2 linked regions of the Caenorhabditis elegans genome follow. The protein of the gene in region 1 interacts with the protein of each later gene in a pairwise test. Each region holds a gene or a part of one and is shown on either strand. Other genes may lie near its edges.

The links.
Region 2: the proteins of rsp-6 (region 1) and rnp-5 interact in a two-hybrid assay, tested with the Caenorhabditis elegans proteins (one large-scale study listed by BioGRID).

The regions. Positions count from the first base shown.
Region 1 is NC_003282.8:7,789,220-7,793,482, reverse strand, and holds rsp-6 (putative splicing factor, arginine/serine-rich 6), read left to right. Parts: upstream 1-2,253; 5' UTR 2,254-2,254; coding exon 2,255-2,308; intron 2,309-2,361; coding exon 2,362-2,492; intron 2,493-2,538; coding exon 2,539-2,646; exon of another isoform or gene 2,647-3,085; coding exon 3,086-3,238; intron 3,239-3,285; coding exon 3,286-3,379; 3' UTR 3,380-3,636; downstream 3,637-4,263. Other genes in the region: Nucleoside-triphosphatase ntp-1, read left to right, coding at 7-314, 361-750, 799-1,059; C33H5.13 (CYSTM domain-containing protein), read left to right, coding at 1,291-1,329, 1,374-1,492, 1,549-1,669; imp-3 (IntraMembrane Protease (IMPAS) family), read left to right, coding at 3,994-4,143, 4,195-4,263. UniProt on the Caenorhabditis elegans protein: Plays a functionally redundant role in shifting germ cell sexual differentiation in hermaprodites. Required for the development of somatic gonad structures and for progression from larval stage to adulthood.
Region 2 is NC_003281.10:852,205-856,093, forward strand, and holds rnp-5 (RRM domain-containing protein), read right to left. Parts: upstream 1,706-3,889; 5' UTR 1,705-1,705; coding exon 1,622-1,704; intron 1,575-1,621; coding exon 933-1,574; intron 881-932; coding exon 736-880; 3' UTR 597-735; downstream 1-596. Other genes in the region: moma-1 (MICOS complex subunit MIC27), read right to left, coding at 1-192; tag-51 (uncharacterized protein), read left to right, coding at 2,035-2,179, 2,226-2,529, 2,580-3,206, 3,760-3,889.

The DNA.
Region 1 (4,263 bases):
TTTCAGGCAGATTTGATAAAGAGAATGATTCAAAAGTTGGAATGATTGATATGGGCGGTGCAAGCGTTCAAATAGCATTTGAAATTGCAAATGAAAAGGAATCGTACAACGGCGGAAATGTGTATGAGATCAATTTAGGATCGATTGAAACCAATGAGGACTACAAGTATAAGATTTATTCTACCACATTCCTTGGTTATGGAGCAAATGAAGGCCTGAAAAAGTATGAAAATTCGCTTGTTAAATCTGGAAATTCAAATGATTCGTGCTCTCCCAGAGGTCTTAACAGGTTAATTGGAGAGTTCACAGTTAATGTAAGTTTAGAAACTACTATTTTTTCAAATTTATTCAAATTTACAGGGTACCGGAGAATGGGACGTTTGTCTTGCACAAGTATCATCTTTAATCGGTGATAAAGCTCAACCTTCTTGTCCAAACCCAACATGTTTCCTACGTAACGTGATTGCTCCATCAGTTAACCTATCAACTGTTCAATTGTATGGCTTCTCAGAATACTGGTATACGACAAGCAATTTCGGATCTGGTGGCGAATATCATTATCAAAAATTTACGGACGAAGTTCGAAAATACTGCCAAAAAGATTGGAATGATATTCAAGATGGATTCAAAAGAAATGAATTTCCCAACGCTGACATTGAACGACTTGGAACAAACTGTTTCAAAGCTGCTTGGGTGACCAGTGTACTTCATGACGGTTTTAATGTGGATAAAACCAAGCATTTGTTTCAGGTATGAATTTTTAAAGACACATCTTACATTCAAGATAAATATTTTCAGAGTGTTCTGAAAATAGCCGGTGAAGAAATGCAATGGGCTCTAGGAGCAATGCTTTATCACTCAAAGGATCTCAAATTCAACCTACTAGAACAACTTGAAGTTGCGCAATCTACCCAACAAATATCAAATTTCTTCTCATTTTTTGTCATTCTTATCATTGTACTGGCAGTTGCTTTATATCGCCAACTTCAATCTGAATCTACGTACAAAAAATATAATTTTCTGCGAACCGATTCTAAACCGGATTTTCTAAATGTGTAGAGCATGATTTAACTTATAACAATTATAATTTATCATTATTTTCATGTCAAATGCAATAAAAAGGTGTGACTGGTCTTTTACTTTATATTCAACCCGATTAAAATGATAACTAAGTTTCGTCACTTCACTTCTAGATGAATCAGCGAAAGGCAAATAAGGAAAAGGAGTATTTTATAAACTCGTCGTCTTTGAATCGTCATTCTCTTATCACTATATTTTCAGTATTTGACAATGAGCGGCGCACCACCACCACCGCCACCTTACAATCAAGTGAGTTCGATCTTTGAAAAAAACTAAACCGAAAATGATTCAAGGCTTATAACGCATATCCACAACCTCCACAAGGTGTCTACACAGTACAACCCGGTGTTCCCATCGGACAAGGCGTTCAACCAGCATATGCAGTATATTATCAACAGCCTCAAACTGTCATGTGAGTTCTATTCGATATTTCGCGAAAAATTAATAATATTGACTTATTTCTTTCAGAGTTGACGACTGCCATCACCATCATCATCATCGTGAACGGGAGCACGGGGGAGGAGGAGGCGAAATGTGTTGCTTAGCTGGTTTAATGGCTTGTCTATGTTTTTTGTGTTTGAGCAAATAATTTTAATTTGATAATCTGGTTCATAAATTTGCAATTGATATATAAAAATCAATTGAAACTTTGACTGGTTTTGCTATTTCTACTTAGAAATAAATTCAGCACAATTCTACTTTCACATTTGTATGTATATTTTCAGAAGATAGTTATCATTTCGGTTTTTTTATAAAACATATTTTAGTGGAAACATGCAACAAGGCATGCTTTAAAAAATTAAGTGTAAATGTGATGCATTCGAGTTTACTTTTTATTGCACAATTTCTGTATTAATACATGTATCCGTTATACAGTGCAACAAATTCGGCTTATTTATAAAATGCATTTATCAAAAAGATTAATTGCAACTGAAATTTTCGTTCGAATTCGCGCCGTTATCTCACCCCGACATTAGGAAATCTGCACAGCTGAAACAAGTGTTACCGTACTACACGCATCGCGAGCAGCTGCGTCGCGTTTATTGAAATCATTTCGCGCGCGTTGCTCTCGAGCTATCTCCGTTTCACACTTATTTTTGTTTCTCAATAATTATTTTTTGAATATTCAAACTTCGTTCTTTTGCAACTTCATAAATTAATTTGATTTTTCAGTATGGACGCCAAGGTGTACGTCGGCGGTCTGCCGAGTGATGCAACATCACAAGAAGTGAGTTCAATCTTGAGCCATTAACAGTAATTATGTAAATATACATTTTTCAGCTCGAAGAGATTTTTGATCGATTTGGAAGGATCCGTAAGGTTTGGGTAGCTCGTCGCCCTCCTGGATTTGCGTTCGTGGAATACGACGACGTTCGTGACGCTGAAGATGCTGTCCGCGCTCTTGACGGATCGTAAGTTGTTTGCTTTGGATATTCGTTTAATGCTTCAAAATTATAGAAGAATCTGTGGTGTCCGTGCTCGTGTTGAACTTTCAACTGGACAAAGACGTGGCGGTGGCGGTCGTGGTGGAGGTTTCGGCGGCCGAGGTGGTGGCGGAAGAGACAGGTTAGTTGAAAATAATTTGATAGTTAAAGGAAAAGAGAGCTGTATTAAAAATTTTATTCGGTAAAACCGTGGACCAAATTTTTAATTTTAGCGGACTCCGCTCGTCCGCGTCCCCATCTGCCATCCCAAACATCACTATCTTCCACTCCTCTCCGTCTTCTGTCTTCACGACACATTCTTCTCTTCCACATCGCTACGCGCCCTTTACTTCTCCCAAAATCATCGCACCAGAATTGTTTTTGACTCTTTTCATCAGTTAATTCTCCGCAGTAGTTCCTGAATCGAGCTTCTGACAAAATCGTCTCATCATGCCTTCGTCGGCTGAATCTTCCCATTCAGTAAGAAAGTTACATCTACCTTTCTTTATGCTGCCATCTGCAGGAAAGATGTATTCGACAAATATGCAATATTCGGAATGTTTTAACATTGTTTATTTCAGATCGCCATACCGAGGAGACCGTGGACGTTCCCGTTCACGCTCTCGTGATCGTGGACGTGATCGCAGCCGCGACAGAAGCCGTGATCGCAGTCGTGACCGAAGCAGAGATCGCAGTCGTGAACGCAGTCGCGAAAGAGAACGTACTCGTTCAAGGTAAGAGTTTTGGATATAGTTATTTAAATTTAAATGAGAAATTTCAGATCTCGATCTCCTCAAGAACGTGATCGTTCTCACTCGAAGAGTCGCTCCCGCTCTCGAAGCCGTTCTCGCAGCCGTTCTGCTTCTCCGCACTAAATTGTGGAAGATCCAAGACCATACAGTATCTTCTCCACAACATCAATTTGCAACCCTAATTCCTCCGAAGAATCTCGAATCAATGATTTAAAAAAGTTTTCACTAAATTTAATTTCTTTGTTGTTTAACCGAATTTTACCATTATTACCTTTCACTGTTCTGTCTTTTTTTATTTTGTTCCTCTTTTTGTAACCTAAAATCGTGAACTTTCATCCATTTTATAAACTGTTGTCGGAAAATAAAAGTAATATTTCGGTAATTTGTGAACGGGGAAATCCAGGGAGACCTTATTTTGTGCGACTTTTTGCTCTGTGAGAGCGTTTTCGAATGTGTAAACAACTGCTTGGAGAACTAGAGAGCAGCACGTGTTTGTGGTGCTCTTTAAAAATGTTGGTCACCGGCCAGCAGTAGAAGATTGATTTTCCCACACATTCTTTATTTCTCTTTATGTGTCGTCCCACCGGCAGCAACGCACGTTTCTTTTTTGTTTCGTATGGCAAAGGATAAACAGGTCTTTATATAGTACGGTTCTACTTGATTTCTCTTCGTCTCTTGCCATTTTTGTTTTCGTATCGTCTCACAGTTAGCACGTGCTATTCCCAGAAAGAAAAAGTATGTGTACTGATTCAAAAAAAGCTCAGGATTCGCCACCAAAAATGCGAGACGACGTGGCAAAGATTGCCGCATCGGCGAGCATTTTAATTCTTTCATGGATTGTACTTTATCACTCCTGTCGAAGGGCATCTACAATTTACTTTTTCGAGGTTAGTTTTTAATAAAATATATTTCTTTAAATTAATTTTAAAAAATTGCAGCTCGATTCAACAACTGTAATATTCATGGATCAGGTTCCTGCAATGATTCTCCCATTCGTTTTCTCTATA
Region 2 (3,889 bases), on another chromosome or scaffold:
TGGAAGGAATTTCTGCTTCAGTGGAGCATTATCTTCAGCATAAATCGGAAGTTGCTCAATCTTAATAGGTTTTGAATCTCCATTATTCGTCGTGTTTTTCGAGGTGACAAGTTGCCAGAATTGTCCAAAAACATTTGTCACTTGTTCACCGGCGTTTGAAATTGTCTCCACAATCGGCTTGTCTTGTGTCATCTGGAAAATCAAGCGGTAAAACAATAAAATAATAAAACAAGAATAAATATTTTAAAATTGATTAGCTTATTATAATTATTAAAAAACCATGAAGAAATAAGTATTCCTACATTTGTGGCGCAAAATATCTCGTAGCGCAGGCTCTGTGTCGATTTACGGAGTTTGTGTTTATTCACGATGCGCCTTTAAACAATTATTTAAAATTGATTTTCTTTGTATTTAATTACCACTTTTTCATAAATCGACACCGACGCCTGCGCTACTATATATTTCGCGCCAGGCTTTCTTGTTTTTTTTTTAAATATTTTCTAACATTTAAACCCCTCTGAGGACGGTTTTAAAATTAAAATAGATAATTAACAGGCAATTAACCATGTCTTTAACCAATCCAAATTACCCTTAAAACACCCAAAATAATTTATTAAAAAAACGAAAATTGGGGAGATCTTTTGCATAACAAAACAGAAGAATAATAAACAAAGGATGTTCAGAATTTGGACAGTTTAGAATGGGGTTTTAAAATGGAACGTCAGTAATGGAAGTTTAAGAACGCGATCTTCTGCCGGCTGGAGAACGAGAGCGGCTGGCACGGCGGAATCTGTTGGGCCCTCCAAGTGGCATATTGTTGGCTCCTGAGCCACGGCCGCCCATTGGAGAACGTCTGCGATGTGGTGGTGGACTGCGGCCTCTGGAATTTGATGAAAATTATCAAAATATACTACTTTTCCTTGATTACTTACCCTCTTCTCATTGGTGACATTCTGTCTCTTGGTGGCGGCGAGCGTCTTCTAAATGGAGAACTTCTACGCTGGAATGGGACAGATTGTCGTCCGATAGTCATTTCGACGTGAACAGCCATTCCATCGATTTGTCCTCCATCCATGTGCTTGATCGACTTTTCGGCGTCTTCCAAATTGTCATATTCAACGTATCCATATCCACGATGAACATGGTTATGGAAGCGATCTGGTGGAAGATCGACATTCTTGATGGCTCCGTAGATCGAGAAAATCTCCTCGAGGTGCGTTTTCAGAACATTTCTGCTCAAATTTTTGATCACTACACGCTTGGCCGGACTGGCTGATCTTGCTGCTGGGCTTCTCCTCGGAGAAGCGCGTCTCCTCTGACGGCTCCCGCTTCTGTCACGACGATCACGACGTGGTGGCGATGGGGATGGACGACGGCGACGTGGTGGTGATGGTGATGGTCGCATTGGGCGATCGCGATCCGCGCGTGCTCCTCTTGGCGGTGAACCACGACGGATTGGAGAACGAGAGCGTCCTCCACGAGCTGGTGGGCGGGTATCACGACGACGTGGTGAGCGAGAACGAGAACGGCCACTGGACGATGAGCTGGAGGAGCGAGATCCTGATGAACTACTTCTGAAATATCGATTATTAAGCTATTGTATGAAAATTGTAAAGCATACCCAGAAGATGACGATCCAGAGCTACTGGACGAGCTGCTTGAAGACGAGCGAGCCCTCTTTTTGGTTTCTTCTTTCTCAACCATACTGAAAAATTATTTCATATACTCGAATAGACATCAACTAAGTAAGAAAATTTTCACCGCGTGGTGTTCGAGCAGAAGAAGAGACAGAATGTTGGCTAAAGCGCTTACTTTTTTGAGTAAATAATTAACCAAAAACAAGAATTACGGATTTTCAAATAAATTTTTAATTGAAAAACAAGAAAAAACCTATAGAAAAACTATAGAATTGAAAATATCGAATCATTTTTCGAAGAGACGCGGGTGAATGATTTACGGTAAACAACGCGCGCGGTGGAATATCGGAGTGTCGTTGCAAAACAAAACACTTTCGTTTTTTTTTTCAATTTCAAAATGGACTCTGCAGAATCTGAACTTTTAGAAGAAGAAGAGCTCCCAGAAATCAAATATATCGACTCTGCAGAATTCCAAAATTTCGATAATAACGCTGATCAGCGTGAAATTCAGTTTCGATGGATGGAAGCATTTGAAACAAAAGGTAATTTTTTCCCAAAAAAGTATTTTAGCACTAAATTCTTTTGCAGAACCAAGATGGTTTAGGCTTCTTGACGAATTCATCACTCCACTTTCTGGAAAACGTGGATATTGTTCTCGAATCGTCGAGAAGTACGCTCGAGTACTTCTTCATCAAGGATTTGAGTTGAGCCAGACGGATGGGCCGCTTCGTGTCGCAGCAATTGCGGCTTCGAGAGATGTGGGACAAGCCGGAAATCTTCCATCAGTATTGAACAATTTATCAGAAGTTACAAGACATCTGAATCTTGCTCAGTATGCCAGCACATCGCTCGCCACTGTAGGACAGAGGAAATTCGCAAATGAAGTCGTCCAGTGAGTGATTTTTTTTAAAATTTTATCTTTTCAATGGAAATTTCTTTCAGAAAAACTGTGAATCAAGAGCGCCTTGGTTGTTTTCACCTGTTCCTCATTGGATACCGCGAAGGACTCGAAAATCTTCTCTCAAATCATCGACACCTGCGAAATTTTCGATATAGTGCAAAAAAACGGCATGACCTTCTGACGGAGCACATTAAGAATATATTTCAAGAGCGAGATTCGTTTATTCAAGCACCAGAAGCTAGCAGCTTCGCACTTCAGACGGTTCTAGAAAACTGGACATTTCCACTTCAAAATGAACAAATTGTACAACTCGCCCATGCGAATACTCTTCAAATGCGCGCTCTTCACGTCAAAGGAGACGGTTTTTATTTTCTAAACGAAGCACTCAATGTGGCTATTGCATTCAACTGGTCCAGCTCCCAGGAAGAAATGGAAGAATTCTATTCAATTTTTACTCCACAAGCGACAAATCCACGTGGAAAACGAATTTTTCAATTTTGGAAAATGATTTCCAAGTACGATAGGAGTAATGGAAATGCACAAGGATTCTTGGTGACTGCTCAGCGATTAGAAGAGGAATCCAAGTCAGATGATATTGGAGCTGGATGTGTGACAGCTGTGGAACTTGCGTGTAAAATTCGCAACCAGTGTGATCAGCATGAAGACTTGTCAGTTTTCCGCTGGATTCCAGAGTTTCATATTTAGCAGGCCCAAAACGAATGCTTGGCAGATCCAAATTTTTCGCTCAATAAACAGCAAATTTACCTCTCTTTTCGTTTTCTCCTTCAATAAATCGAGACAGTCTGTCTGCTTTGGTCAGCTAAACATTTAGACCAAAGTTAGGTATGATAAATATTTAGCAGACCAAAGTTAGGTATGCTAAATATTTAGTAGACCAAAGTTGGGTATGCTAAATATTTAGCAGGCCAAAGTTAGGTATGATAAATATTTAGCAGACCACAGTTAGGTATGCTATATGTTTAGCAGACCAAAGTTGGGTATGCTAAATATTTAGCAGACCAAAATTAGGTATGCTATATATTTAACACACCAAAGTTAGGTATCCTAAATATTTAGCAGACCAAAGTTGGGTATGCTAAATATTTAGTAGACCCAACTCGAATACTTAAATAGCAAATTCTTCGTTAAAAAAACAACAACATTAGCTGAAAATGAGCCAAACCTCAGAGAAATCAATAATAATAATATTAACTGTTTTAGAAGTAAAACCATCATGGATACAATAACCCGTCACCCATCTCTCGGCCCCCGTATGATGCAATTAGCCGAACGATGTGGCGTTGGATACGAAAATGAAGAGATTATTCATCAAATCTGCGATCGGTTCTCC